Rattus norvegicus: one gene and its partners. The protein of the gene in region 1 purifies or fractionates together with the protein of each later gene. This does not show direct contact. Links are inferred from orthologs where the notes say so. Each region holds a gene or a part of one and is shown in the gene's direction. Other genes may lie near its edges.

What was found.
Region 2: the proteins of Tnks1bp1 (region 1) and Fhl2 purify together in Homo sapiens (affinity purification with mass spectrometry; 3 studies listed by BioGRID and IntAct, with this or other methods). This does not show direct contact. The link is inferred for Rattus norvegicus from reciprocal best matches to the Homo sapiens genes TNKS1BP1 and FHL2.
Region 3: the proteins of Tnks1bp1 (region 1) and Cnot7 purify together in Homo sapiens (affinity purification with mass spectrometry; 4 studies listed by BioGRID and IntAct, counting the BioPlex papers as one, with this or other methods). This does not show direct contact. The link is inferred for Rattus norvegicus from reciprocal best matches to the Homo sapiens genes TNKS1BP1 and CNOT7.
Region 4: the proteins of Tnks1bp1 (region 1) and Cnot11 purify together in Homo sapiens (affinity purification with mass spectrometry; 5 studies listed by BioGRID and IntAct, counting the BioPlex papers as one, with this or other methods). This does not show direct contact. The link is inferred for Rattus norvegicus from reciprocal best matches to the Homo sapiens genes TNKS1BP1 and CNOT11.
Region 5: the proteins of Tnks1bp1 (region 1) and Cnot10 purify together in Homo sapiens (affinity purification with mass spectrometry; 4 studies listed by BioGRID and IntAct, with this or other methods). This does not show direct contact. The link is inferred for Rattus norvegicus from reciprocal best matches to the Homo sapiens genes TNKS1BP1 and CNOT10.
Region 6: the proteins of Tnks1bp1 (region 1) and Cnot2 purify together in Homo sapiens (affinity purification with mass spectrometry; 5 studies listed by BioGRID and IntAct, with this or other methods). This does not show direct contact. The link is inferred for Rattus norvegicus from reciprocal best matches to the Homo sapiens genes TNKS1BP1 and CNOT2.
Region 7: the proteins of Tnks1bp1 (region 1) and Capzb purify together in Homo sapiens (co-immunoprecipitation; 5 studies listed by BioGRID and IntAct, with this or other methods). This does not show direct contact. The link is inferred for Rattus norvegicus from reciprocal best matches to the Homo sapiens genes TNKS1BP1 and CAPZB.

The regions. Positions count from the first base shown.
Region 1 is NC_086021.1:90,544,779-90,548,914, forward strand, and holds part of Tnks1bp1 (182 kDa tankyrase-1-binding protein), read left to right. Parts: intron 1-88; 5' UTR 89-107; coding exon 108-201; intron 202-1,168; coding exon 1,169-1,784; intron 1,785-3,409; coding exon 3,410-3,479; intron 3,480-4,136.
Region 2 is NC_086027.1:52,884,999-52,889,134, reverse strand, and holds part of Fhl2 (four and a half LIM domains protein 2), read left to right. Parts: intron 1-593; coding exon 594-763; intron 764-3,443; coding exon 3,444-3,630; intron 3,631-4,136. UniProt on the Homo sapiens protein: May function as a molecular transmitter linking various signaling pathways to transcriptional regulation. Negatively regulates the transcriptional repressor E4F1 and may function in cell growth.
Region 3 is NC_086034.1:58,492,160-58,496,295, forward strand, and holds part of Cnot7 (CCR4-NOT transcription complex subunit 7), read left to right. Parts: intron 1-2,390; coding exon 2,391-2,501; intron 2,502-4,136. UniProt on the Homo sapiens protein: Has 3'-5' poly(A) exoribonuclease activity for synthetic poly(A) RNA substrate. Its function seems to be partially redundant with that of CNOT8.
Region 4 is NC_086027.1:49,308,701-49,313,623, forward strand, and holds the start of Cnot11 (CCR4-NOT transcription complex subunit 11), read left to right. Parts: upstream 1-1,923; 5' UTR 1,924-1,995; coding exon 1,996-2,491; exon of another isoform or gene 2,492-2,654; coding exon of another isoform or gene 2,655-2,745; intron 2,746-3,463; coding exon 3,464-3,628; intron 3,629-4,281; coding exon 4,282-4,434; intron 4,435-4,923. UniProt on the Homo sapiens protein: Component of the CCR4-NOT complex which is one of the major cellular mRNA deadenylases and is linked to various cellular processes including bulk mRNA degradation, miRNA-mediated repression, translational repression during translational initiation and general transcription regulation.
Region 5 is NC_086026.1:123,204,927-123,209,654, reverse strand, and holds the start of Cnot10 (CCR4-NOT transcription complex subunit 10), read left to right. Parts: upstream 1-1,487; 5' UTR 1,488-1,612; coding exon 1,613-1,634; intron 1,635-3,425; exon of another isoform or gene 3,426-4,728. UniProt on the Homo sapiens protein: Component of the CCR4-NOT complex which is one of the major cellular mRNA deadenylases and is linked to various cellular processes including bulk mRNA degradation, miRNA-mediated repression, translational repression during translational initiation and general transcription regulation.
Region 6 is NC_086025.1:54,031,159-54,035,294, reverse strand, and holds part of Cnot2 (CCR4-NOT transcription complex subunit 2), read left to right. Parts: intron 1-857; coding exon 858-937; intron 938-3,278; coding exon 3,279-3,404; intron 3,405-4,136. UniProt on the Homo sapiens protein: Component of the CCR4-NOT complex which is one of the major cellular mRNA deadenylases and is linked to various cellular processes including bulk mRNA degradation, miRNA-mediated repression, translational repression during translational initiation and general transcription regulation.
Region 7 is NC_086023.1:156,781,041-156,785,176, forward strand, and holds part of Capzb (F-actin-capping protein subunit beta), read left to right. Parts: intron 1-3,166; coding exon 3,167-3,288; intron 3,289-4,136. UniProt on the Homo sapiens protein: F-actin-capping proteins bind in a Ca(2+)-independent manner to the fast growing ends of actin filaments (barbed end) thereby blocking the exchange of subunits at these ends.

The DNA.
Region 1 (4,136 bases):
TGTTGCCTCTCCTGGCTCTCTTCCTCCTCCACCTCTCCCTTTCCTGGGTCTTCACCCACCCCGGCTCACACTGCTTCCCATTTCTCAGGCAGGGTGTGCCGTATGTGATGAAAGGATCCACTCTCAGGGAAAGCACGGCCGTGGCTTCCCCACTGCCCCAGGATATGGAGGAGGAGCAGGCGCCCGTTGGCTCAGAGCCAGGTACCAATGGGTGACGGGTGTAGGGTGGGGCCGTGCCTGGGAGGAGGGCGGGGAAGGTAGAGGCTGCACCCCTATTCTGTCCCGGCAGGTAGTTGAGTGACAGTTGAGGTGAGAGGCAGTGAGTCTGAAATGAGTGCTGAAGGGCCTTGGTGACTGGTGGGGGTGAGGTAGATGTGCAGCTGGTTTGAGACAGGTCCAGGGACTCTTCGAGAAGGAGACACCGAGGCACAGAAGGAGAAATGGAGTGCACTTCTTTCTCCCTGTCTAGACTTTTTAAATGCTTAGCTGAATGAGTGGGTGATACAAGATTCTATTATAGAAGGTTGTGGCCGTGAGTAATTCCCAAGGTCTTTTATGTGGCATTACAATGCCTTATATAGAAGGTAGATTTCCGCCCTTGATTTTTTTTTCTTCCTTCCTGTGGGAGATTTACTTCTGTTTGACATAGGTCAATAGAGAGTCTGCATTCCTGATAACGAACTGGATGACAGAGGTGGCCTGGGAGTGTGCGAGAGGAGGGGCAGCAGGGAGACAAGGGGAGCTCAGCTAGGATAGAAACTTCCTATGGAAATGTGGTATATAGGGTTGTATAAAGGAATAGGGTAAATTGGGTACCCAGGCTGACTGCATGGCGGGCCAGGCGGATGGAGATGCTTATTCATTCACTCCATTCGATAGGAAGGAACCTCTGTTAGCAGCAAAATCGGATGCTAGAGGAATAAGGTGCCAGAGCACCCACACATAACCCTCGCTTTTAACTGGTAAATGTTATAGGAGTTTGGAGAAGGTAGGCTATATAATGAGTGTGAGAAATCAAGGACCGCTTCATGGAACAGGGGGTACTGATTTGCACCTAGAAGGATGGGTTCCAAAGTTTGAGTGTGGAAGATTTGGTGCAGCAGGAGTCCCAAGAATTTATGTTTCACAATTCTCCTGACAGTTCCTAATGAGTCCTTCCTTCTGAAAGGTGACCCACGAGCCAAACCCCCTGTCAAGCCCAAGCCCCGGAGCTTGCCCAGCAAGCCAGCTCTGCCTGCCAAACCCAGCCTTCTGGTGCCTGTTGGGCCTCGTCCTCCTCGGGGTCCCCTGGCTGAGCTGCCTTCTGCCCGGAAGATGAATATGCTGGCAGGACCTCAGCCCTATGGGGTCAGCAAGCGTCCACTCCCATTTACATCAAAGCCTCCAGCTGAGGCAACTGCTGGGGGAGAAGTTACCCAAGAGTCCGGGAAAGAGGACTTGCCCCCTTTAACACCGCCAGCTCGGTGCGCTGCTCTGGGGGGTGTGCGGAAGGCCCCTGCCCCCTTCCGTCCCTCCTCTGAGCGGTTTGCAGCCTGTACAGTAGAAGAAATTTTGGCGAAGATGGAGCAGCCTCGGAAAGAGATCCCTGCTAGCCCTGACCGACTCTGGGGGTCCCGCCTCACCTTTAACCACGATGGAAGCTCTCGATATGGCCCTAGGACCTTCGGTGCCTCCTGCCCCAGAGAGGAGGATAATAAGACCCCTGCCAAAGCATCATCCCAGGAGAGGACAGCAGAGACTCCCGCAGAGTGCCAGGAAGAGTGTAGCAAGACTCCTGAGGCGAGGTAAGGGCTAAGAGTTCGTATAGTTCCTGGAAGTCTTGAAGGGGCTATGCAGTAAGTGGCTCCAGTTTGGGGTGTTATCTTTACTGTCAGGTTACTTACGTGAATTCAGGCAAACCCAGGCTAAGTCCCAGAGTATCTCTGTTGCAAATGGTGGTGTTAGTGCTGTGTGTGTGTGTGTGTGTGTGTGTGTGTGTGTGTGTGTGTGTGTGGTGTTAGGAATCGAACCCAGGGCCTTGTTCATGCTAGGCAAGTGCTTTATCATTGAGCTACATCCCCAGCCCTCTATAGCTCTCTTTACAGAGTTGATACATGTTATGCTACAGAGTCATACTGTTCAGTAGACTAGTTTGTAGCCCATTCAGTACATATCTGTGTCCTTTGGAGGAAGGGACAGTTAAGTTCTCTTTAGAGATTGGAAAACCCAGGCTCCAGAGTGACTTCCTAAAGTCTCTCAGTTTAAATCCAGACGCGTATGATTCTAAAACCTGTGCTCTTAACTGCTAAGGTCTCCTGTGGCAGAGCACCATGTGGCCCCCAGGGAGGGGTATGCTGGTATCCGTAGAGTACAGTCTGCCTGTGAGGAGTGTGATGGGCCTCAGCTGATTTCTGCAAAGAGATTTCTTCTGTTCGGAGGCATTTTCCCAGATGCACTTCTTACCCACAGTCGGCCTGTGTGTAAGGGAAGGCCGGCTGGGAGGCGCTTCTTGGGCTAGGAGACACATGGCCTGGAGGGACATGAGGGTTTTGGCCATCTAAGATTTTCAGGGCAAGAAAGCACCAGCCTGAAGAATGCAAAGTTAGGCCTAGTGGTTGCCTTCGCTTGCCCACTGTGAAAGCTAGACCTGTTGTGGTCTGGGCTGAGCTTGGAGCTGAAGGCCCTGCCCTGCCCTGCCCTGCCCTGCCCTGCCCTGCCCTGCCCTACCTTACCCCACCCTCCAGCCTGCCCTTTTCTCACTGGAAACACCTGGTGGTTGTGTTGCACCACCCAGGACCCTGGCTACTGGGAGGCCATCCTGCTTCCCAGCCTGATTCCTCTCTGCATCTATGAAGGGTTCAGTCTTGGAAAATCACCCCCACCCCCACGTCCTTCAGGAAGTACCAGCAGGGCTGCTGGGACCAGTTGCATTCTGGCCAGAGAAGAACTTTAACTCCTCAGGGACTAGGAGAGGAAGCCATTATCTTCTTGGGAACCTCTGAGGGACCTGGACACACATGATGCTGTTCTATGAGAGAGGGGGGTGGGGATTTAACCCTGTGTGGACAGGAAGGGAGTGGATGTCATGTCCTGGGCATTTGCTCTGTGGGCACAGCCTAGCTTCCTTATCCCTAGAGCTTCCAGGCCAACTTCAAGTTCTGAGGTGTTTAATCTTTGGGTGTTGTTAAAATTGCTTGGAAGGGATAACTACCCCCCCCCCTTTTCTAATTTGGGACAGACTTCACCATTCTTTTTGTTTTGTTTTTGTGTTTTGAGGCAAAGTTTCTCTGTATAGAGCCATGGCTATCCTGGACCTCGCTTTGTAAACTCTCAGAAATCAGACTACCTCTGCCTCCCTGGCACTGGAATTAAAGGCATGCGCAACTACACCCATGGCCCAGTTACCTCCCCTTGTCTCTCTTCCTCTCAGGATCCTCACTTCCAGCCTAGCACTGAACGGGGACCTGGCTAAACTGGCTAGCTCTGGACCACCTTCTGAGGTGAGTTGTCTTCATGTTGTGAGTACAGCTGTGTAGAGGGGAGCTGGGCAGTCATCTGAGGTCACCTCTTATTCTCTTAGAGTTTAGATGGGGGAAACTGGCCCACGGACTTGCCCAGGGACCTGCTTTCAAGACTCAGATTTTGTTTTAAATTCCCAGGCTAGTGTGCCTGGTCATTAAGGTAGCTAAGTATGGTTGGTCATGATGATTAGGAACAGTATTTATGATATTCTAGCATTGACCAAGCCTCTACTGTGTGCTGTTGGCATGTTGTAGGGGTATTAGACAATTTAATCCTTTTTGTTATTCTGGCTTTGTTGGCCTCTTTTGAGAGTGCCAAGACCCAGGCTAAGCAACTCTCTTGGCCTGAGGCAGACTTGAAATATCTGACTCTCTAATTCTCCCTGGCTATGCCTAGGTTCAGAAAGGGTAAAGTCTGGACTTCCTATACATTCCCTCGTCTTATGAAGCCTTTGAGCAAAGTATGTCAAAAATGGCCCTTGTTTGGAGAGCCATTGTCAGCTCGAGGCTGTTCCAAGTGCCCTGGAATAGAGATGTGTCTCTATGTATGTGTGTGCTATGCGTTGGAACACCAGAGAACAAAATAAGCATTGCGCATGCTGTAAGGATTTTACTTCCCAAAGGCAGGCAGGCAGA
Region 2 (4,136 bases), on another chromosome or scaffold:
GCGGACTGGGTGAGGGAGTGCGGTATCTTCTCACGCTATCCAGAAAGGTGTCCGGTTTTTCCTTATGAATGAATTGTATATTTTTGGCATTTTCCGTTAAATATTTTCAGTTTGACCTGAGTTTGACCACAGATAGCTGAAACCATGGGAAGTTAAACCATGTCGTGACCTTCACCAACCCCACCACATAAGGATTAATGAACTGTGCTGAATTTCATCTGTTTTACCATGTGGAAAGGCACTTTACATTTTTTATTTTATTAATTTTTAATCTATTAATTAAATTTATTGATATTTACTTTATTAATTTTATTTCCACTTAACATTCCCAATTTTAATTTAATTTAATTCCCATATTTAGGTAAACATCAAGTACCAACTATGTACCATGTAGTCCTACTATGTTCTAGGACTGCATGTGTAGCATTGAAACAAAAGCAAACTAGCAATTATCTCCAGTTAGAGAGGAGCCTCCGAGAGCAGAGGAGACTTACCGTATCATAACACTAGGTGGTAACGGGCTCTGGAGACGCGTTACCGGGACCTCAGTCAGTCTAACGGCCGCTGCTGCTTTCTCTCGCCTCTGACCACAGGTACCCGCAAGATGGAATACAAGGGCAGCAGCTGGCACGAGACCTGCTTCACCTGTCAGCGCTGCCAGCAGCCCATCGGAACCAAGAGCTTCATACCTAAGGAGAATCAGAACTTCTGCGTGCCCTGCTATGAGAAGCAGTATGCCCTGCAGTGTGTGCAGTGCAAAAAGGTGCTTGGGGTCCCTGGGGGCTTCTTGTCCTTCTCAGCTTCTGTCCCCGGCCCAGCCATCACGAAGGAACACCTGTCATGGCTCTCTGCTATGAGAGCTTGCCCATTCTTGCCTTGAACATCTGTTCTCCTGGGTGTCTGAGTGTTTATCTACCGGGTCTGTGAGCTGGCCTTTTCTTTTTCTTTTTCTCAAAGAGAAAAATTCCGCCTTCAATAACATTTCCAAATGTTATTACCTGATGTCAGAGGGAAGGGAAACTCTCTCTCTTTAGCCTGCCTCTGTTAAGCTGATCTTGAATAAACAAGAACCACAGAGGAGGTCTGCCACGCTCTCCTACACACAGCTCCATGCATGGTGGTGCCTCTAGGGCCTCAATGCTGTTAGGACCTATTCCAGCCTGTTAAGTTAAGCCCTCCCCTCTCCTCACTTCCCTGCTCCACTGCCCTCTGCCACATCTGTGGCCATTCTTTGCTCAGTTCACTCTTGCACTTGTTTCTTCTGGGATCTCTTTCTGCTGTTATGGCCACCTCTTCTGGCTTGGAAACAGTTTGGTCCCTTCCGGCAAGGCTCACTTGATGTGGTAGGGAAAACTCTCATTGGGTTCACCTGTAATGAACTCTGTAAGCAAGGCAGGTAGCACATGGTGAATGCCGTGTTCGTTCATGTATGTTTGATGGCCGTAGAATCTATCCGTGCATATACACAGCAGAAACCTGAGCACTGTTCAGAGGTCGTTTGGCCTTGAGATCAGCTGTACTGCCAGGGCTATAAACCTGTAGGCATCACTACAGACAACACATTGCAACACCATGATAGCAGTTCCTGTGGCTCCTTTGTGGCTCCTTTGAGTCACTTGTCCTGTCACCGGCCCATCAGTGTGGTCCTTTTAGTTGTAAAAGTGCAAAAGGTACAGTTTTGTGGGTCTGTGGCTTTGTATAGGTGCTCCCTAAATACACTGGACCCGTCCCTCCTCAGGCAAGGAAAGAGGTCCTGCAACACCAGGGGTCTGAGGGCGGGCAGGAGAGTGAAAGGCTGGATTTTAATCCAGGTGGAAATGACTCTGTAGCCAGCAGGGTGTCTTGATACATGTGCTGAGCGACAGGACCGATTGGTCACAGAGTCGACAAGAAAATGAACCAGAGGATGGAGGTTGGGGTTGCTGGGGAAGGGAAATCTCTAAGAAAGCCACACTTAAGCTGAAATGAAGCTGAGCTGATGTGGTGCAAAAGGGGGTGGAGGAGGGCGCGAGGAGATGTGGAGGGAGTGGGAGGAAGTGGAAGGTATGAAGAGAGGAGGAGAGGATGAATTAGAGAGGTGAGGTAGAAGGGGTACAGAGAGGGGAGGGAGGAAGTGAGAGGAGGAGTAGGGGAAGGAAAGGAAATGGGGAAGGGGGAGGGAGCGGGGAGGTGGGGGATGGGGAGGAAGTAGGGGAGCATAGGGTGTAGGAGATAGAGGAGAGTAGGGGGGCATGAAGGGTATTAGATCCAGAGCACAGAGGGAGGCCCAGGGGGAACTCCAGGCAGAGTAGACATCACCTCACATACTCATATGCCTCCTGTATCTCCCAGAACAAGGAGACCCAGAATATTTTCCATAAATTCTACTTCTGGGTCAGGGGCGTGACAAATAATTCCTCATGTGTGATTTAATGACAAGAGCACAGGACAGAAGGGAATCCTGAGTCTCCCTGCCTTGTCGTTAGCCGGCTGTGACTTAATTCTTGGGCCAGGCCTGGGTCTCAGTTGCTTCGTCTGCAGCGCAGAAGTAGCAATCTTGCTGCACAAGCTTCATACAGGGCCCTCAGAAACTGCCAAGCACTGCCATACTGTTAAAAGAGTAAAGAGCATTGGGATGCGGCCCGGAGCATTTTCACTCTGTCTGCTGTGGCCACTGCATGTCGAGCTGAGACCCACTTAGACTCCCTGACCTCTGACTCAACTCTCCACCAGGATTTAAATTCATAGGAAAAGCAGTATTTGGAGGTTACTGGATGCAGTTGAGGTGTGGCAAGCCGTTTATCACCTTAGGGCTTCTTTAGAAACCTTCCATGACTCTAAGATAGGGCGGGAATAAAAGGCCCCCCGGGATGCTGGTCCCTTCAGGCCACACCAGCAGATGCTGATTCCAGTTGTCTTTAAGCTTCTGCCTTTCTGCTTCTCTAGTTACCATGCAGACTGAGTGTGGAACTAGACCTGGAGAGGCCACCACTTGCTGGGATTTGAAGGAAGGCCTCCACAGAGATTCATCCCGTTCTCTTTGTCACCCCAACTTTGTAGTTAGAACTGAGGTACTAAGATCTCTAGCCATGCCTTGCCTAAGCTACAGAGCCATTCAGAAGTAGCAGTCGATGCTTTCAGTGTTGTCTCTGACCATGACTTCACCACTGTGCCACCTTCCTATTCGGGAGGGTGACAATACCCCACAGTACCCATACCTTCTGTTCCCTTGCACCTCTGTGAAACCTAAAGACCCAGGATCACTAGGGAGAAAGCCAGGAGCTACAGCAATGGTATGGATGATACCACGAGATGCCTGAGGTATGAGGTTTCCTTACCACTTTAACAAACTGCACCTTCGTTGGGGGTGGGGTGTGTCTTACATCATCATGCACAGGCAACGGCAGTGACAGATGTCTACCAGAATCAGGGGCAGCCCTGACTCTTATACTTGTCTCCTCCAGCCAATTACCACAGGAGGTGTTACTTACCGGGATCAGCCCTGGCACAGGGAGTGCTTTGTGTGCACAGCCTGCAAGAAGCAGCTATCTGGGCAACGCTTCACAGCCCGGGATGAGTTTCCATACTGCCTGACCTGCTTCTGTGACCTGTATGCTAAGAAGTGTGCTGGGTGCACCAACCCCATCAGTGGTAAGTGTCCTGGGAAGGCTATCGCCAGGGCATAGGCTGTCTGCTTCCTGGAGTAGCATGTACACCTAGAGTGGTAGCACGGGTGTGTTAATATCTTGAGGCTCTGAGCCCAACAAGCATTTCTGCCTCTCTGTGGTGCGTCCTTGGAATACAGCTAGTGACTTTCCCTTAACCCTGGTCACGTAGAACCATTGGCCTCCCACTTAGTGTTTCTGCTTGGGTCTGAGTCTACTACAGTCCCATGAACAAAACGATGGTGTATTTCAGCCCCAACAGCGGAACTGGTATTTGAAATACCCATGTCATCTTAGTGCGACTCTTCCAACCACAAACCACGGTTAGATGGCGGTGCATTCTGAGTAGTTTATTCGTAGCACAGTCCCGAGGGAATCTGACGAAGTGAGAACCTAAAATGTGCCTGCCTGGCAGACCGGATCTGGACTGAGCTATTGAGTATGTGGAAGATATTGAAGGTGGAGAGTACTGGCTTCAGACTAAAGCCCTTT
Region 3 (4,136 bases), on another chromosome or scaffold:
TAAAGATCATGTTAAACACAGTTATATTATCTGATCCTGTTGTTCTTAAGTAGTAGACGGCCCTCTTCCAAGCTGCAGTGTTCATCTTGACAGGAGAAGGTTTGTTTTGGGTTTATGTTTTGATTGGTTGGGTTTTTGTTTTGTCATAGATTTTTTAAATTTTATTTTATGTATATGGGTATTTTGTTTGCATGTGTATCTATGCACCAAATGTGTGCCTGCTGTCTGAGGACATGAGAAGAGGGTATCCAGTCCCCTACAATTGTAGTTATGGATGGTTGTGAACCACCATGCTGTGCTTGAGCTGAACCTGGGTCCTCTGCAAGAACATCAAGTGTTCTAACCTGCGGAGCCATCTTTCCAGCCCAGAATAAGGTTGATTAATATATTAATTACATTAAATATATTTTATATACACACACATTCTGTGGACGTTCATAGTAAGAGGTAGCAGAGGCTAGAGGAGAGCGCTAGACTCCTCTGGAACTGAGTCATGGGTACTCGTTAGCTGCAGTGGGTGCTAGGAACTTGGTCCTCCACAGCAGCAGTGCTCTAGGGGCCAACTCTTTAGCCCCTAGAATAAATTTTTTAAAAAGTCAAGCTAAGGGCCAGGTTTTTGTTATTGATGCCAGATTGAGAATCATGAACTGAAACGAAAGTATGAGGTATAGCACACTTACTGGGCCTATTACAGCGGTGCTCACACTCCCAGCACACAGAACTATCCTAAAGATACAGGTTGTGGTTGACGAGCAGCGGGCAGCGACATTCAATACTGTTCTAACGTGGTTTTCCTGACTAGAGACTCTTTATTGTTTCTTGTTGAAGTATGTTATTATTTACATAGCTAAAACTGATTAGGTTTAAGTACTGTATAGTAAATATGTAGTTTCCATATAGATAGCAGCTTATTCTGATACTACTTAAAATATGTGACCATTTATTCTTAACCTTTGAACAAAATAAATGTTTCCTGATTAAAGTACTTCGGTTTAAGAGCAAATTCACCTGAGTTGGCAACGGATCCCTGGCAATACAGTGAGTGGGTTTTTAGTTGCTGGATTTTAGTGTGATATTTAAATTATAACTAAGGAAACAAGTGTATTTATAGCCAGTATTGTCCCTCTCTTCAGTAAAACCAAGGTTGGTCAAGTTTCTTTAGGCTTTAGAAAAGTGAATGTGTAAGCTTTGATTTCAACAATTAACTGAGAATTGCAGGACACAGGTGTTTGCCTCCAATATAGGTGTGGTGCCATATAACTGGGAGAAGTTCTTTGCAAGATTATTTCAGACTATCAGCTGAAAGTTGTAGAATTCTGTGTCATTTGAGGTTTCCTCATAAGTGAACTCCAGCAGAGTATTCTGATTGCTTACACAGATGGGTGGCATGCTGAGAATCTAAGTCTGATCTGGCTCTGACGTTTTTGTTTTTGGTTTTTTTAATTGACAGCTTGGTATGATAATAGTTTTCATAAATAGTCCTAACTCTTTACTCATCTATATATTCAGAAATGCCTAAAAATATATCAAGTATTTTCTTGTGTGCTGTGTGAGCTGCTCCCACTGAAAGTGTATGTTAGTGATAAGGTGCTGCCAGTCGTTCACATTTAGTCTGTGTCTGTATTACCAGTGGCTGCTAAGGATACATAGTGCACACAATGCTGTTTAGCACAGAAGTAGTTGGTGGGCAAAAGTCCTATCAAGCTAGGATGGGACTTCGGAGGGCCTGACTTGCTAGTAAAGCCTTTGTAATTTAAGGAGAGCGTTGATTGGTAGTAGTCTGCTTCTGTCTGTCTTTTATTTCTTCTCTTTTCCTTTCACATTCTTTATTTTTCTCAGTCATGGCTATATTAATGTAAGCATATCATAGCAAACCATTCTAAAAGAGTTATATCTGTAAAATTCTCTTCTTAGTTGAGAAAATGAACATTATGTGGCAGACTGACAGCAGTGGTCTGAACACTCGTGCTGTCTTTGTTTTATTTAGTTGTAAATACTTCAGGGGATGCCTAGATATTTAAAAGGAAATGCCTGTACTCAATACTGAGTTTTTAATGAGTGATGGCACAATACACTGAGTGTGACTAATACCTGTTACCCTGAATCTGATCTACTTCCTCCATATCTGTAGAAAATTGTTTGCTTGTCACATGCCTTAAAATGTATAATTAAGATAAAATTTTCCTATTAGAATTTCATATTTGGTAACAAGGCTTTTATGGTCCACAAATGTATTGCAGATTAATATTTTATCAATCCCCTTGCCATCTTTACAAGGTTAATCTTTACATATTAAAAACTTATTCATATTTTTGTCAGTGTCTAAATGTATAGTTGTGAGTTCCAGTCCCAAAGTCTTCTCTTTGACAAGCGACTGTTCTTCCCTCTAGGGTGGACTGCAGGAAGTTGCTGAGCAGTTAGAGCTGGAGCGGATAGGACCTCAACACCAGGCAGGATCTGACTCACTGCTTACAGGAATGGCCTTTTTCAAAATGAGAGAAGTATGAAGACATCAGTGCCTTTTTCTTGGTTGTTAGGTAGAGAACATTAAAAGTCTGATGACAAAAGTTTTGGGCATTAAGAACCTACTAAGTGAAGATATAAATAGAGGTACTATATAAGTTACATCCACCACATTTGAATGAAAGTGTTAAATAAGTCCTCCTGAAATGTCATCCAAAAAGGAAAGATAATAAATTCTTTATAGAATAAAAAATTCTTTTATTCTGAAATACGTTGCTTACAGAATAAAGGATTATGTGATTGTAGAAGTCATGTACATATGAACATACTGTTTTTTAGATGGACAGAGCAGAGGCTAGTGACTTTAAGCTGAAAGTTAGTGAGGGAACACTAGAGGCCTTTCTTTTTTTTTTTTTTTTTTTTTTTTTTTGGTTCTTTTTTTCGGAGCTGGGGTCCGAACCCAGGGCCTTGCGGTTCCTAGGCAAGCGCTCTACCACTGAGCTAAATCCCCAACCCCACTAGAGGCCTTTCTTAGACCCCACAAGTGCCCTTCTGAGTCAGGGAATGTGTGTCAGAGTTTCCTTAGTTTGTACCTTCTCTTTCTTGAAAATGGTGGTGAGAATAGATTTGCTCGTCTTTCTTTGCTTTGAGGGTTTTATAAAGTAGAACTTAAAGTTTTTACTAAGTCTTAAAGGGCTTTTTGAATTATAGGTATTAATTAACTCTAAAGTCTGATATATAGTTGAATTAAAAGCTATTTCAGGAATTCCCCCATTAAGTACTTCAAGAATAAAATTGATAGGAGTAGAAGGGTGATGTGTAGTGGAACGAAGTCTGTTTTTAGGATAGATAACCATCCTAGTGATAGATATCACGGTTACCTCACTGGTGGTAATAAAACAATATTTAGTTATAGACACATACACACACATATAGATCCTATTTTTTGTTTGGTACAAGTGTGTGTATGTGTTTGTGTCCTATTTTGGTTTGGTACAAATCGTGTATGTGTATGTGTGTGTGTGTGTGTATGTGCATACACACACACATGCATGTAATGCATGTATGTATGTATGTATGTATGTATGTATGTATGTATGTATGTATATAATGTACCTACAGAAACACATTTTTACAGAATACTTGCTGTGGAATTATTTTGAGTGTATTCTCTTGGTAGAAGTATGTTATTGATACAAAGCATTTGATCTGTGTTGCCAGGTAGTATCAATTTAGAAGTTACTTGAATTGTCCACTTACGCAAGTAAATTGTTTAGTTTCAATATAGAACCACCTTTTGGATTTTTATTTTAAAAATGCCTTATAGCTAGTTAATGGTGAGTTTCTGGCACCAGTTTGTTAGCTTTATTGCCCTTGGCTTCAAGGCTGGCAATGTAGTGAGAATGTTCAGGTGTTTACTATCTATAACATGTTTAGGGTTTGGTTAATTTTAATCAATTCAGCCTTGCACTTAGACTTAAGACAACTTAAAATGGTGTAACATCTCCTCTTCTTCTGCCATTATCTCTCTCATTCTTTGAAGGTTGTTATATTAAAGAAATTAAACGGTCTGCATGTTTTTATGCTCATAAATTCTCGTTAAGATGAAGTAAATGTTAATGAAAAAGAAAGACTTGCATTTTAAAGGGTCCTTGAGCCCTGTAGTGAAGGGC
Region 4 (4,923 bases), on another chromosome or scaffold:
GCCGACAGCACAGCCTTCCATAGCAGGAGGCCACAGAGAAACTTAGAGGAGACATGACTGAAGGAAAGAAATAAAAAGGAGAGGACATGACTGCTCCTAGGTATTGTGGGGAGAAAGTTTATTGTAGATAAAAGGTTGAGTGTAGGTAGAGGCAGGGACGTCCAGAGTGGACATGACTAGACTGAGCTGGACCTTGTGGGGAGAGGGGGAGACCATGTGCAGCAATCAGGAGTCTAAAGGGACAAAGGAACTGGTAATCAAAATGTCTGGATTCTAGAGGGAAGAGCCTGTGCTGGAAGGGGAGTTCACGGTAGAGAGGGGGTATGCCAGCCATGTCCAGTTAGGGAGGAACTGAGGGATGCTGGGGGAAGCCAGCAGCCAGGTCAGCTTTGATATGTTAACGTTAAGTTTGAAACTTAATAACAATTAGGGGCACCTAACAAAAGAAGCTTTAACCTAAGGGGGGTCGGGGGCTTTGGATAAATGCCAGAAGCTAGTACAAGACTAGGAAGGATTCTCCCCTTGAGGCTTCAGAGGTGGACTGCAGAGCTGATAACTCCAGACTTGCAGCCTCAGGAAGGGAGAGGAAGTCAGCTTCTACTGTGAAAATGTGCTCTGTTTGTGGGGATAGCATAGAAGTCCTAGAAACAAACTGATTGGAAACATAAAGAAGCTCTTGGTACCGTGTTAACCTTGATGAAAATCAGCTCTATTTGGGGCTAGTATTGCTGTGCTCAAATACCTCCAAACATCTTGAAGCACCCATACTATACCAACATTTAAGTTACTAATTAATAATAATTTACAACAATAACTAGCTTGAGTGGGTTTTAGTATTGTAGAGTAGTTGTCATAGAGCATACAATCAATGTAAAAGGGCTCAAAGAGAACGTAGTTGATTAATAATAATAATAGAGGTATTTTGAATCATTTCCCCCGTTTGCCAAGTTATATTTTCTGCTGATTGTAACGTTCATTGGCAGAATCCCTCCACACGTTTAACGGCAAACTAAACAATGCGCCATACTCAACACCCGTTCCTCAAAATTTCCTTAAGGATTTTAGCCGGTAAATAGAAAATTCTTGAACTGTTTGCCATTTTTAGCACAGGGTAGCTAGCAGGTGATGCTGATGACATTCCGTTGGTTTCTGTAATTCTAGAGTGGGTACTAGTCACCACCCAGAGCATGGGAGTGGGGAGCAGGTAGTGGTGTCTGGGACCTGGACCAAGAGGTTGGTACAAAAGAAGTTTCCCAGGGCTAGAGAGATGGCTCAGCGGTTAAGAGCATTGACTGCTCTTCCAGGGGTTCTGAGTTCAAATCCCAGCAACCACATAGTGGCTCACAGTCATCTGTAATGTAAGTTTCCAGGGTTTTCCAGTATTCAGCCAAGGTGGCCAGAAAAAGAGCCCTAGGGCAGGCTAAGAAAAATGAAGTACTACAAACGACTTTGAAAACGAGTTTTTCTTGAGACACTTTCTCGGATTTTTGTTTCTTTCTTATTGATTGATTGAGACAGGGTCTGTCAGTGTAGACCAAGCTGGCCTCAAACTCACAGGGGTTCGTCTGCCTCTACCTTCTTGGTGCCGGTAATCTCACCATGAGCCATCAAGGATGTTATATCGGACAAGATAGACCTATTTTTCAAATTATAACTTAGGTACGATCGACTGGGATAGCTTGGCGCCACCCGCCACTCTAGGATCGCTTCCATGGGGCTTTAACCACAGTTTACCACAGTTTACATTACTGAGTCCACGCGTCCCCGCCCTCCGCGGCGCCCCGCCCACTTCCGGGCACAGTGCCCCGCCCACTCGCGTTCCCGGAACCTCGGCTTGGCCCGGCTTTGCGCTGTTTCTCCGTTCCGCTCGCCTTACTTACGCGCTGTTTTGTTTGCGACGCTGTCGCAGAAGGGTGCGCTTTACGGCCGCGGGGGGACGCAGCGAGCCGGCGCCAGGGCCTTTCGGCCGGGAAGCAGGATAGGCGGGCGAGGTTGATGCCCGGTGGCGGGGCGAGCACGGCGTCTGGCCGGCTTCTCTCAGCGGATCCAAGAGGGGCGCGGGAGGCGGCGGCGTTCCGGAGTGGCCCGGCGGGCTCGAGCGGAGGCCGAGGCGGAGCAGGTGGCCCCGGGTCAGGGAGTGGAGGCCCCGCGGGCAGGATGAGCCTGACCCCGAAGGAGCTCTCGAGCCTGCTGAGCATCATCTCGGAGGAGGCAGGCGGCGGCAGCACCTTCGAGGGCCTGTCCACCGCCTTCCACCACTACTTTAGCAAGGCCGACCACTTCCGCCTGGGCTCGGTGCTGGTGATGCTGCTGCAGCAACCGGACCTGCTGCCCAGCGCCGCGCAGCGCCTCACGGCGCTCTACCTTCTCTGGGAGATGTACCGCACCGAGCCGCTCGCCGCTAACCCGTTCGCAGCCAGCTTCGCGCACCTGCTCAACCCGGCGCCGCCAGCCCGGGGCGGACAGGAGCCCGATCGGCCCCCGCTCTCAGGTACGACCCGCAGCCTGCTGTTCTGTGGGAGCTCGTCGGCTGGGAACATATTCGGCTTCCTCAGAGAGGATCGACCCTCCCTCCCTTTCCATACTTTGTTCCACTAAAATGGGGGTGGGTAGTCAGAAGTTGCAAGCTTCTTTTCAAACTCACTGCACCCCAGATGATCCCTCCCAATCGAAAAAGCCAACGCATCGAACAAGCCCACCGATGGTCTGGACTTATTTTAAGTATGTCAGATACGGTTCGTTCAGGTAAGGTCCTGAGGTATGCGGAGTAGCCAATGGCAGAGTCCACCCCCTTTTTAAAGCCTCTGAGTAAAGAAGTCGATATTAAGAACCTGAAGAAGTGGCAGGTTGAGATCCGCATTATACAACATCTAAAGTCTTTGCAGCCGCCTCCCTCCTTCCTTGGTCTGCTGTAATGTCATGGGAGCAGAGGATGAAGTTGTTTCTAATTAACCGTTCCAAGATGCATGTATGTGTCCCGGGCAATACTGTGGAATGTTTACTATTGCAGCATTGCAAAGATCGGGCACAGGTTTACATCTGAGGATGCTCCCCTAACTTATGTACCGAGGATGGAACCCAGGGTCACTTCCTCTATACCACGAGCCTAGCCCAGGACTCTGGTACAGCTGTACTCCCAGTCACAGGCTGCATTTCAGAAAGCTACCATATTGTAGTTTTTAGCCTTTGCAGGACTCAAAGTATTTGATAACCACAAGTTTCACTGACGTCTCCATAGGTCCACATTGTCTCAAGTGATATATTTGTTTATGGACTAATATGAGTATACTAAATGTACATATTCGATTACCTGGAACTCAGTTACATTTAGTTCATAGAAACGAAACGGCTCACAGTGTGGCGAGCAGGAAACAGCTAAGTGTCAAGTTAACTGTTAAAGTTAAGTTTTGAAAATTTAAAAGTAGCCTTTGTCGAGAAATCGGCATGTATTTTTTGTTTGCAGGGTTTCTGCCTCCTATAACTCCGCCAGAAAAGTTCTTTCTTTCCCAGCTCATGCTGGCACCCCCGAGGGAGCTGTTCAAAAAGACACCTCGCCAGATTGCACTCATGGATGTCGGAAACATGGGGCAGTCTGTGGATATTAGTGGCCTTCAGTTAGCCCTGGCAGGTAAGGAAGGGCCAGAGACTGGGACATTCTTATTGGTCCTTGAGATTCTCTACTTAAAAAAAAAAAAAATTAAGATTTTTTATATATATAATTTACACTTTTGCTTGTTTTTGTTTGATCCTCTCTCATCCTGCCCTGGCCTCCCTGCCTTGTCAACCCTCCCCCCCCTTTTGTTTGTTTGTTTTGAGACCTGGTGGGTTTCTTTGTGTAGCCTTGGCTGTCCTGAAATGTGCTGTGCAGCCCATGCTGGCCTCTAACTGAGCTCTTGCTGGCTGACCAGCTCCCACCTTGATTACACCTTTGTATCCTAGTACCCTCCTTCATTCTCCTTTCCGTTTCCTTTTTCTGTGTGCATCTGACCCCAACCTGGCCTCAGTCTCACACCTCCCTGCCGTCCATCCACCTCCCTCTATCTTTTCTTTTGGGGTTATTTTACTATTATTATTGTTTGGTTTATAGGATTTAAAGATATTTACTTTGTACCCCATTCTGTTCCTGGTGTTCTCAGTTTTAAAATGTTCTCTCTCCCCTGTCCCTGCCCCCAGTTTCAAATGCCAGGGCTGGCCTTGGATGCTTGATTTTTGTGTCTACCTTCCAGGTATGGATCACAGGGCTTAAGTGCTTTAAATGCTCCTTGTCTGAATCTGTTCCAGAGCGTCAGTCTGAGCTGCCAACCCAGAGCAAAGCTAGCTTCCCAAGCATCCTCAGTGACCCGGACCCGGACTCCTCTAACTCTGCGTTTGACAGCTCAGTTGCCTCTCGGATCACAGAGTCTTTAGTCAGCGGACCCAAGCCGCCCATCGAAAGTAGGTGTCTGTCCAGACCACCTACTGAAAGTAGGTGTGTGTGTGAGCCAGCTTTATTTTCTCAGGTTTACAGTCCAGCAGCATTCTGGAGTCCTAAGGTTCTGTGGTATCCGTTCACTGATAACAGACTTCCTGCCTTGCCATCTAGAGTATAGCAAACACCAGCCACTAGTTCTACACTAGGATGTTTATTACTTGTTTGATATACATATATGTGTGTGTGTACACATACATATACGTATACATACACACACATATACACCTGTATACATACATAATGTGTATACATATATGCCTGCCTGCAGATAGAAGTTCAGATTTTACAAAAGTGAATGTTCTTGTTTTAATGAAACAGTCTTATGTACTGTAGAGTAGCCTTAAAAATTTCTATGTAGCTGAGGGTGACCTAAAAGTCCTGGTCCTCATACTTCTGTCTCCCAAGTGCTATGGTGACTGAGATGGCCATGTCTGGCTTTGTTTGTTTACAGT
Region 5 (4,728 bases), on another chromosome or scaffold:
ATAAATAAATAAATAAATAAATAAATAAATAAATAAATAAATAAATCTTTAAAAAAAAATAAAAAAAAATAAAAATTTCCGAATCTTATGAGGAGTACCTGGTGTGATGGTTACTTTACAATTCAGTGCTGTTGCTGTTGTCATTTATATATGACGTTCCCCTCCCTCAAAAGCCTCTAAATAGGAGGCCAGGACCCCAGTCTTTGCGAGTGGTAATAGGATTCCACCAGTTTGGAACTATCCTTAGATTCACCCACTAGCAGAGTCGTAATTTGATGCATCATTAGGAAGCAATGGAAAATAAGGACATGGAGCCCAGTGGGAGTAAGAATCTCAGTGGAATGTGCCCTTGGAGGCTCTTTCTTCTTCCAGTTTCCTCTGCTTCTAGCCACCAGGAAGTCAACAACTTTACTCTATAACTTGTGCCCTGGCACAATGCACTGCTTCACCAAGGGCCCCAAAACAATGGAACCAAGTGACCCGGGACTGAAAATTCTGATACCTGAGGCAAAAATCCATTCTTCCTCACTTAAATTCTCCTTCAGGGTATTTATCACAGAAGCAAAAAGTCTAACACAAATGCCTCTGGTGTCTGTTTCCCTCCATGATCTGAACCTCTGTTATTATAAATACTGGTTATTCCCTAGAAGGGAAAGGAAGGATGGAGTACGTGCTTCTGGAACCCAAGGCTGAGGTCATTGAACAAAACCAGAACCAGTTCAGGGATAAATCCTTTGCTTTATCCAAAGACTGCAGCAAGGATACATAGAGAGACTCTGTCTCAAAAAATTAATCAAACAAAAATCTGTCAAGATATATGGCTGGAGATGCCTGGGTCGTTAAGGATGGGTATTGTTTTTGCAGAGTTCTTGAACATGAATCTAAACCATTGTGCTTAGTAATAGTGATGCACCAAGCTGATGTCTTAGATGTGACCTACATAAGTTAACTGTTGCAGGATTCGCAACCAGAGAAACCGGATGCATAATGCAGGAACTCTGAATTTTCCAACTTGGCTACAAATAACAAAATGGCTGAGACTTTTTTTTAAAAAAGGCTTTTATATGGGGGGGTGGCCTCTAATAACATCTCCCTCATCCTCATTGTTGTGGAAAATCGGTGAAATAGTACAGGCCATGTGAGATTAAGCGATTAGCGTATAGACATCAGGTGTGATACCCGTCATTTTGGTGAAATGCGGAACAAAATGCCCTTCCCCTTCCGTGTTTCACTCAGGACCTGCACTAATACACTTCCGGCTTTGCACAAGGACCCGCTTCCGGGGCCGCGGCTAGCCCTAATTCCCACGCCCAGCTGGCCTTCCAGCTGGCCCCGCCCCGGAAGTACTGTCTTCCTTGGGCGCTACAGAACGGAAGCCGTGGATGGCGGGGAAAACAGTCCTCCACTGGCGGATGTGTTGGTGCTGTTGCTAGACGACGAACAGTGAGTTCGTCACTTCCTCAGCCCGTGGCCCGCCCAGGACCGAACCAGAGGCGACCGAAGCCGGCTTGAGTTGAAGAGTTTTCCCCCGCCTACAGGACCCGCCACCAGCCCGGCGGCGGGAGTCAGGGCCACGCCACCTGCAGGGAAGAACTCGAGCCGAGGCGGGAAGATGGCTGCAGACAAGCCTGCAGGTGAGGCGCCCGCGCCGCGACCCAGGGGCTGACACACTGCGCGCGGAGATGGCAGGGCCCGCGTGGGGGACTCCAGGGCCACTTGACTTCACTCGTATATTTCTGCCCCTCACTCTTCTCAGCTGTCCCTACTGTGAGTCCTGTGGGTTTTCTACTGTGACCCGTCTCGATGCCACTGCAGACCATCCTTGCCTTGCTCTCCAAGATAATTCTGCCCCAGAAAGCTCAAATTTGTCACGCCGCTTTCCAGAGGCATCAGGGGAAGGTCTTCCCGAGCTTACACGGTTGCCGTAAGGTCCCCAGGCTCAGCCACTGAAAGTTCCCTCTGGTCAGCGTGTCCTGTGGAATCCTTCTGAAAACCGTTTAAATAGACGTGACGTTTAAGTGTGTCTTCTGCCTGCTGTCACTTAACCTTGTTCGCCATTTGATTTTTCTCTAGCTACTCAAGATTAACTTCTTTTTTTAAAAAAAAATCTTGGGGTTGGGGATTTAGCTCAGTGGTAGAGCGCTTGCCTAGCAAGCGGAAGGCCCTGGGTTCGGTCCCCAGCTCCGAAAAAAAGAAAAAAGAAAAAAAAAAAGAAAAGAAAAGAAAAAGAAAAAAATCTTAATTATGTGTGTGAGTACAGGTGCCTTCAGAGACCCGAAGAGGACGTTGTGTCTACAGGAGCTGGAGTTACACAGTTGTGGGCCACCACCTGTGGGTGCTGGGGACCTACTTTTGTCCTCTGCAAGAGCAGCAAGTGCTGTTAATGGCTAAGCCATCTTCTTTCCAGCTCCAAGATTAAGTTCTTAATCTCTAGGGTTTTCTGTGGTGCCCCCTCGGGAATTTTTCCCCTTGGGGAATTATAAATTTCTAGCCCACTCATTACCTGGAAAGTCTGCTTTATTTCTTTGAAGAAATTAATACTCTGTGCTAGCTGCCCTGGGAGTTTCCAGGGGCTTCGATTGTCTTCACTGCCTGTCCCTCTCACTGGGAATGCCACTGTGTCTGGGCTCTGACGATCTAGACTCGGGGTAAGACTGAGCATGTTTACCCATCAGGCTATCTCCCGGTCTCTCACTGCTCTTCATCTTTTTTCTAAATAGTCATCGTGTGTGCTGCTTTCCTCTCTATAGACTTTCCAAGATTGTCTCACTGGTTAGCCGCTGAGCCCTTACTCTTTAATATGGTTTACGAGCTTTCAAAATTGGGTCCTCTGTAGGAGCAGTAATCCTCCACCCCTGAGACATCTCTCCAGCAGCTGCTTGTTAATTTTCTTATTGTACATTGTCTGTCTGCCTGTCTGTCTATCAGAACACAATCCTTAATACACGTCTGGAGGTCAGAGACTACCTGTGGGAGTCAGTACTCTCCTACCAATTCTCTCCTTCCAAGAACTGAACTTGGGCTTGGTGCCTGAGAAGCCTTTTTGAGCCTCAGTGTCCCTTTGTGTACAGTAAGCATGCTGACAGTGTCTTTCTCCTAGAGCTAGTGAAGGCTCAAGTGACATCAGCTGTGGCTTGGTTTTGGTTGGTTTGTTTTTATACTTTTTCTTTTTTTTTTTTTTTTGGTTCTTTTTTTCGGAGCTGGGGATCAAACCCAGGGCCTTGCGCTTCTTAGGCAAGCGCTCTACCACTGAGCTAAATCCCCAACCCCGTTTTTATACTTTTTGAGACAAGGTCTCTCTAATAGCTTTGGCTGGCCTTTAAGATTTTCTATTCAGGGGGCTGGGGATTTAGCTCAGTGGTGGAGCGCTTACCTAGGAAGCGCAAGGCCCTGGGTTCGGTCCCCAGCTCCGAAAAAAAGAACCAAAAAAAAAAAAAAAGATTTTCTATTCAGACCAGCCTAACTTCAAATTCTCAGGAACCCATCTGCCTTTGCCTCCCAAGGGCTGGAATTTTAAAGGCATGCACCACCATGCCCAGCCTTTTGTAATTTTTGCTGTTGGTGGTAGTGGTGAGTTTGGGTTTTTGTTGTTGTTTTGTTTGTTTGTTTGCTGTTTTTCAAGACAAGGTTTCTCTTGAAGCCCTGGCTGTTAAAGAAACTCCCTCTGTAGACCAGGTAGCCTCAAACACAAGAAATCCACCTGCTGGGCTGGAGAGATGGCTCAGCAGTTAAGAGCACCCGACTGCTCTTCCAGAGGTCCTGAGTTCAATTCCCAGCAACCACATGGTGGCTCACAACCATCTGTAAGGAGATCCGATGCCCTCTTCTGGTGTATCTGAAGACAGCTACAGTGTACTTATATATAATAAATAAAATAAATCTTTAAAAAAAAAAAAAAAGAAAGAAAGAAAGAAATCCACCTGCTTCTGAGTTCACCTCAGAGGGCTGGGATCAAAGGAATGTGCTGAGGCAGCTGGAAACACCACCACCACCACCACCTGGCCTTTAAATGTCTGCTAAGGGCCTGTGAGATGGTTCAGTGGGTAAAGGTGTTTTCTTTCAAGCCTGACACCCAGAGTCCCATCCCCAGGACCCATGTAGTAGAGGAAAATACTGCCTTTTCCAAGCTGTGTCTGACATACACACTCAAGTAAATAGTAAGCGCCAGCCTGTGTCTCTTTACGGTGATGTTAAAGAGACAGAAGAGACATGTTAAGTTTATTTGGAAAGTGCCAGGGTCTGGGGAGTGAAGGAGAGATAGCAATAAGGGGAGACACGGTATGTTCTGTCCCTGCTATTGATCCACCACCAGCTCTGAGAAGCTGTGGCAGTCACTTCCTGTGCAAGGTTTTTTCATGGAGCCTCAGCCAGGGCCACACAGCCTCTAGAAGCAGTTTTTGAAAGTAACACATAGGGAGGAGAAAGGAGGCGTGTGTGTGTGTGTGTGTGTGTGTGTGTGTGTGTATGTGTGTATGTGTGTATGTGTGTGTATATGTATGTATATCTTCCTCCTGCTTTCACCTTGCAGTTGGTTAAGGACATCTAATATGGAGGAACAGATTTCCTTGTGTGGCTTCATGGCAGTTGATGAGCCAGTAGCCAGCCTTAGACTCCTATCTTCCTGCCTCAGCCTCTTGAGGTGCTGGGATTACAAATGTATGTTATCATGCCCAATTTCCTTCATTGGTGGATACTAAATGCCCACAATCAAATGCCAGCATTCCAGCC
Region 6 (4,136 bases), on another chromosome or scaffold:
CTTCAGAGGCTTAGTCCTGTTCTGCACTGGGATACTAACCTCTGAGAAGACCATTTAATGATAAAGTTTCTTTGTAGAATCTTGTTAATAATTCTTATCGACATCCTTGATTATCTGGTCTTTTGAATACAGTTTTTTTTTTGTTTTGCTTATGTTTGTACAAAAAGTAGTTATTTATAATTATTTGCAGAAATCAAGTTACGCATTAATTCAAAAATGGAAGTACTATAGGGAGGTTTTTTTTTCTTTCTGTTAAGTAGATGAAAACTAAGCTCTATTTAAGATATGAGTGATGAGTTTTAGAACACTGAATTCAGTTTTCTAAGTACCTAGTCAGTTTAATTCAGGTCAACTCAACATTTATTGAATACCTTGAAATTTTAACACCAGGGGGCAGAGAATGAATAGGACATAGACTCAGGGGAAAGAATAGTTGGGAAAGACCGGGTTGTAAAGAGAAGGCTTGCACTGAAAAGCAAGCTTTACAAGTCAGGAATGAATGGTTTGGGAGGGAAATCTTAAACCCTACCTGCATACTGTCGAGGTTGGTGCATTTCCCCAACAAGGTAGCTCACTGTCAGCTCTGAATGGATTCTTAATCTCTGTTCTTCAACAGTAATAACCAAGTTTCTTTTTCGGTTTTTAAAATTTATTTGTTTAAATTGTTTCTTTCTTGTTCATTGAAGAATTTTAGAGAATTTTTAAAATTGAAATAAAGATTTTATTCTCAAATTAGCATTGGTTTTGAAACATATTGATGTTTTATATGAGGAGACCCAAAGCATATACTTTTATTTTTCTTCATCTCAAACTTAGTGTTCTTACTGTATATCTAAAATTATTTTCTATGTACCCAGTATGTCTGGATTTGGAATGAACAGGAATCAGGCATTTGGAATGAATAACTCCTTATCAAGTAACATTTTTAATGGAACAGGTAAGCTTACTCTGGAGCTAGCACCCTAATGAAAGTACAGTAGAATTCTGAAATACAAGCAAGTCGGCGCACTGGTCTCTGAATAGCAGCAGGATTTTACTGTTTTAAACAGAATTTAGTTTAGTGGAAAACTGTCAGGGATAGGATTTAAGAAAACATCAGAAAGTAAATGTTTTTTTCCCCAACTTGGCCTTGCACAATTATTATCACAGTTATTTTGTAACATCTAAAGAGAGTAAATACTAATTTGGACCATATTTGTGCCTCAGAATCTTGGGTTTTTTCTTCAAAATGTTTCCTGTCCTTTGCCCTATCACTGAGTGTTAACAAGAGTGTAGACTAGGTTGAATGGTAGGACATTTTGATTTTAGATACATGGATTGAAGAGAATCTGTCAATCGTAGGACGCACTTCATTTTTAAAAATAGCTTTAATGAAAATTTTCACATTTAATCCTTAAGAATTTTGATTCAGTATTATCTATAAGATTGAGCTACCTGGAAACTAACTTGATTTTTGGCAAAAACTAAAGTCTGTTGGTTTCTTTTAGCAACTGCTTTAGCAGGAAATAAACAGGGAGTGAGTGGTAGGTATTGCTGGCTTGCCTTGCCTCTAGGTGCTTTGGTGATGAGAAAATAGTGGTGTTGCCATGGTTATAGGACCAGAGTTAGTGTTCCTGGGCACTCTGTACGTGAAGGTGGCAGTAAGAGGAGAGGTTGTAAGGTAGCATGCATACGCCGCAGGAGAAGACCTAAAGGAAGCCCTGTGGTAGCTGTAGGCTTCTAGCTTCTGCATGTTCTGGTGGCTTGTTGAACAACTGAAGCGGACCAGCCAAGATTAAAACCATTGACAGAATGGAAGTCTATAAGCATTTGAAAATTATAGTTTTCTGGGTGTGACTTTAAAATCCGTCAACCTTCTAATTCTTAAGCAAAGTCCTATACTTGATCACCTTTAAAGAGCACACTTTTCATACCCAGTGTGTGAGGTCTGGCTGCCTCTCACATTGCAATTCAGTGTTTTTATATGCTACTATAAAGTCTCAAAATTTTAAATTCTTGGATTTTATACTGGAAAAATTATTTTCAAGACTTAAGTTTCTAGTTGAAAAATTATAAATTGTTGGTTAAAATATATTCTCACATAATACTTGACATTTAGACATGGAAAGATCTAATGTTATGTATTAAAATTTAATTTTTACTTGAAGAAGTTTATAATTAGTCATAATATGAGAGATACTAACTTATAAATTAATCAGTAAATAAAATTTTAATTTATTTTGCTTTATTGTATTTTTAATGGAAATTAAAAAAATAATTTATGAGAAATGGCTTATCTTGACCTTTATAGTTGTAATTTTAAATTATCACCTTCCTTGGTTTAATAAGTGAACTTACTTATAGAATAGTAGTTATGATGCTTTTAATTGTGAAATTTTTCAGAAAAATCAAAATTAATTGGAAAGCAGCCCTAAATCTATACATGCTTATAAAACAAGGCACAAGATAAAGAAGAATGATTGTATACAGTTAAATTGTAGGTAGAAAATTAAGTGGTTCAAAATTAGAATACAGGTTAAGAACATGAAAGGCTGAGAGAAAAATAATTAAAATAGCCAAAGTAGAGAAGTTGGGTTAAATGTTTATGTCTAATGGTAGCAGTTTAATATAAAACAAATACATACATCTTTATTCCATATATTTATTGAGCGCCTACTGTGTAACAGGCAATATAAAGTTCTGGGTTTTGATCTTTATTCCCCACCTACTCCTGATACTTAGGAGTCCATCCTTGCATGGAGCTAACAAACACATACATGTGTACACATTTTTGTTTCAAACTAAAGTATATATGACAGAAGTCCTCAGGGCTTCCTCTGTTTGCCTCAAAATCTTTCTGGACTTTTGCAAGAGCTAATGTCATCGTATCTTAGAGTTGAAGCTCCCAAGTCATCTAGATCTTGCTCCATCCAGTTTGAATGAAAAGAGCAGTTACAGCTAAACAGTGTAGTTCTTGTTCCCTAAGAAGCACTAAGTTTTATTGCCCTCTTCCAACAGGGGGAAATAATGTACAACTCCTCTCTTTTTCTACATCTCCAGACTTGGGTGTTTTAAGATGCTGGCTGTAGAATGCTTTCCTCAGTTATTAGGGAATTCATTCCATGACACAAAATCAGTCCACAGAATCCACAGTATGTGTGTCCACTGTCATGTGCCTACAACACCACACTGCACTATTAAAGAAGACGACACTGTTGTTTCCAGTGAGATGTTTGGCTTTTGTGTGTCATTGTAGATGTTTGTGGAATCAGTAACAAGTATTATCTCTTATCATTTAGATGGCAGTGAAAATGTGACAGGATTGGACCTTTCAGATTTCCCAGCATTAGCAGACCGGAATAGAAGGGAAGGAAGTGGCAACCCAACTCCATTAATAAACCCCTTGGCTGGAAGAGCCCCTTACGGTAATTCATATTCTTAGTGATGGCCAACTAAAGGTTACAGTCATGTGTACTACACACATGCGTGTTTATGTGTGCATGCTTGTATGCATTTATGTTTCAAACCAGGTTAGCTCTATTTTGTCAGAAATCTTAATTTGAAAATTGGTTTTTCTTTCCATATATCTACAATAGCAAAATTGAGTAGTAAACTTTAGTACAGAAATCTAAGTACTTGATTTCATTGCTATTCAAAAGTTATTTCTTCTATTCTATGTGCCTTAATTTATTATATGTGATTGGTTTTGTGACTTGGCTTTTGTTAGTTGCCTCCCCCTCCCCTTTAAGAGAATATATCCCTGGTGACTAATAATAACTGCGTTGAGATCTCTCTCTGAGTGAAGAGGTCTCCTGAGTCACACTGGGGCCTGGAAGACTCATGTCAGGAGGAGGGTAGTCTGAGGGCACTTATTCAGATAGGACATTTATCAACGCTAATGACCGCTGTGTGCAGCACTGGCTATCCTGCCATCCATGTGGCACACGTTTCTGCATACTGGCAAATGCCCTCTTGAAAAGCCTGTGAGAACCAGTGCTTATGATTCTGTATTTCTGTAGATTCTTGGCTATGATTAATAACCCAGTCACTCTTTTTTACAGTCTATAAGTTAAGAGATTCGGGTAGTAGAGCCTGAATAACAATGTTAAGAAAAGCATTTGCAGTGACAGTATAACAACGGAGACAGAAACATTTGT
Region 7 (4,136 bases), on another chromosome or scaffold:
GGCAAAGACCCTATGCCTACTCCCCTGGGACCCAAGCTTAGATTGAGAGCCCTCTGCAGCCGACAGGACATGGTGCTTGCCTAGGGGGTCCCCTCATGACTCCCTGGGCACAGCGTTGACCCGGGAGATGGACACAGGCAGGGAAGAATAGGCCCTGCTGGTGGTGTTAGGATAGCCAGCTCAGGAGCAGTCACAGTCCTTGTGCCATCCGTCCATGGGACTCCTGGGGAGAAATGGGAGTCTGGGGTGGGGCTGAAGGAGACATCGGAAACGTGGTGGAGTTTTAGATTGAACAAATAAAGAGCTGTCCTGTGTAATTAATATTCGAGGCATGGTCAGACTGGAATGGTCTTCCTTGTGAATCTGAAATTCACATTTAACTCAGCAGCCTACAGTTTCTGTACCACCAACTCTCAGTGGGGAGGGTTTTTATACAAACTAGCATGTTGAAGAGACAGCTAGTAGGCCAGTGTTGGGAAGGTGGAGGGTGGGCAGGATGGGGGGCAGGACTGACACATGGTGTGTATACACACACACACACACACAAACAGCAGGACTGATACATGGTACACACACACACACAGAGCAGGACTGACACATGGTACACAGACACACACACACACATGCACACACACACACATGCACACACGCACACACGCACTCACGCACAAGCGTCTGGGGCAGCTGCCATACTGTATAGTCTGTACTTGTTTCCAGTGACAAGCATAGTGTCCTTACTCCAGACCAGATTGTCTTTGATCAGAAGAGGAACTGATGCAAACAGAACTTAAAAGTATGGCCCACATTCAGAACGTGTCTTTCAGGGACCTGAGCAGTCAGAGCCAGCCAGCCGTGACCCATCCTAGGTACTTGTGTGCTCTCAGGCACATCCTGTGTCCTGCAAGATCTCTGTAGCTTTCCACGGTGTGCTGCCACGGTGGGGCTCAGTTGAGTGTGTGTTCTTCTGTGGTTGCTAGGGACTTGTGGGCTTGCACAGTCCAGGGTCAGCCCTTCAGGGTGCCTCGTCTCCGTGGTTTGCCTGGTTCTGTCTTCCTGTCGTTGCCGTGGAAGGCTGGGCTTGGGCTTCAGTGTGGTGTGAGGTTATTTGTTCCTTTTGCTGCTTACTTGAGACTCTGAGAATTGAACTGAGGACCTCATGCACAGCAGGCAAGCACTCTACCACTAAATCATCTTCCCAGATGTCTAGTTCCTCTTAACTCAAGGTCTTAAGTATTCGAGTATGCTTGAAACTCACTCTACAACCCAGCCAGTCTTTGGTCTTAGGATCCTCCTGCCTCAGCCTTCCAAGTATTTAGGCTTACAGAACTGTGCCACCAGGCCTGGTCACAGTGATGTGGAACTCATGGACTCAAATCTTTGTCTTCTCTCAGCCTCCTAAGCTTCTAGGATTACCAGTGTACATAACCGTGCCAGCTAGAAATGGAGCCTCTCCTGGCAGCTCCCATTGTCTTGCCAGCTTGGCTGGCGAAGGAGCTCTGTCTTCCCAAGCATCCCTCAGCATCTGCCATCAGAAGCAGCAAGGTGCACTGAGGTACAGAGGGCTGGAACTGCTACCCAGTATTAGCAGACAGCCAATAGAGTCCACACAAAGAGGACTTGACAACTGCATGAAGACCCCAGTAGCAGCCCAGTGGCTCGAATGGATCCTTGGTGGCAGGCTACAGCACGAAGGGTAGCACACAGCTGCCAGAGTCATTTCACTGGGCCAAAAAAATACAGCAAGTGCCTCAGACCCAGCTAGGGTGTCCCAGGTGGAGGACCTAGCTATAACTGAGCTGCAGTGGGGGCTGGGAGGAGCTTGGTACCATTGCTGCTCACTGTCCTTAGGGACCAGAGTGACAGGCTGAAGGAGCTTGGGAGTCACCTAGCCCAGGATTGGATTTCTGTATTCCCTGCTGACTGTTGATGTGAGTCTTGGGCAGCTTTAATGACTCGGTCTCAGCTCTGTAATCTAGAAGTCCTTGGTTACCCACTTCATGCCCTAGTCTGAGCGTTTAGGCCAAGAGCATACTTTGTGATACCTGGCTTCACGTCCCACAGGCATTTAGAGGTAACAGAGAGGGGTGTCGCCAAAGCTAACTTTGGAAATGACCTTGCCTGTTGGTTGGGTGAGTGCACAGGTGCATGTGGACCAGGTTCTGAAGACAAGCACACCATGCTTGGGCTGGAGGTGTATGCTTCTCCTTGGGGACCGATGTATGTGTAAGAGTTGGACCATCCCATGGAGCAAGAGGTGCTTCAGTGCCAGGTAGCACTTTGTACACTGGACTGTGATGTGGATGGTAGCATGCAGCGTCAGAGCCTGGTTGTCCTAGTAGTGCTGGCCTTTGGGAGGGACACGTGATCTGAGCTGCATGGCCCCCTCTGTTAGCAGCCCCTCTTCTGGTAAATGATGAGGCTCTGAGATGAGAAAGTCAGGACGCGGAGACAGTGTAGAAATGACTCGAACAGAAAAGCATCCACTCTGCCAGGATCCCCTCCTGGAGACCAATGTTTGTGTTGGGAGGAGGCAGCCCTGGTCTGCTCCCCCAAAGGCTGTGGTAGGAATTGATTGACAGCACCTTATGACTTGTTCCAGCCCACCAAGCTGGGCCACCAAGCTGTTTGCCCTCCGCTCTACAGGTGAGTGGACTGTGCTCTGTGTGGAAAGCGTGTGGACATCCACCTCTGTAACAGACACAGCCGGCTAGGAACGGCCTGGTAATGCTTGGCCTGAGGCCTGGAAAGAGCTGGAAACTCCACCCGGCCGGCATGGGAGCCTGTGGGAGTTCTCCAGAGCCCCGTTATTCTTTGAGTTCTTCACATTCCTGTGTATTTGAAGTGTTTGCCTTCTTCTCAGAGCCTGAGCTGGTATTTTGTCCACCAGAGACCAATACCCAGCACACACATCCTCATACTCACAGACCACCCTGGTGGTCAGGTAATTAAAGCCACACCCGGCTTTGGAAAGACTGCGTTGGAAGTCACGCTCCACAACATCTCATGGCCAGGTTTCTTTATAGAGAAACATGGTTGGTGTTGGGCATATGTGGAGAGTAACAGACAGATTCCGAATTTTGGCAGGGCACTACAAGCCAGATGTTAACCTGGTCCTGAATTGGGGGTTATTTTAATGACATTTCTCCATGTCCTCTCTTTCTGCCAGGTCCCCAGTCTGTGTGAAGATCTCCTGTCTTCTGTTGACCAGCCCCTGAAAATTGCCAGAGACAAGGTGGTGGGCAAGGACTACCTTTTGTGTGACTACAACAGAGACGGGGACTCCTATAGGTGAGCTCCCACATTGTAGCGCTCACCTCACAGCATGGGTAGCCCATCCACACATCTGTTTGTCCTTCTTTCTCCTCCTCTCAGCTGTCCATCTGACCCACTAACGGGCATGTGTGGGTACCTTCCTTGAGCATCAGAGAGAAGAAGGTCTTGGTGCCGTACAGTCTAATGGAAGAGCCGTGTGGTTTCAGGGTCAGCTGCCCCGATAGGGTGGTGCGTCCTTCCTTCCTTCCCTTCTCTTTTCCTTTGCCATCACCATGTGGCCAGTTGACATTGGTCCCTACCCAGGAAAACACGTCTAGTAGCTGATGAGTAGCTGTGCTGTGATGCAGACAGTCAGTTCAAAGCTGGCTGGGGGCCTTAGAGGAGCCTAGAAGAATCTGTGGTCCAACTCCAGAATGACATGGTGTAGGACATGGTCCTGGGTTAGATGTTTTTAATAGACTAACTATCTATTTTGAGATGGTCCCACTATATATCCATCCCTTGCTGGCCTGGAACTCCCTTTGTAGACCAGACTGGCCTCAAATGCATAGAAGTCCTCATGCCTCTGTCTCCCGGGTTCTGGGATTAAAGACCTGTGCCAACACACTTGGGATCATTTGTTTCAAGTTTCCCAGTGTGAGAATCCCAGAACACCGCAGGACTTCCTGGGGATGAGCACACTGGGTTTGGGCTTATTAGAGACCACACTACCAGGGTTCTTTTTGGAGAAACAGGGAAGGGGACCAGGAAGAGCAGTATGGACTCTCAACCAGCACTGTTCCTACTGGGAGCAATGAGACTTTGGCAGTGCCTTGTCATCTCTGTCATTTCTACAGAATAGAAACTGTAGTGGTCATTCAGCC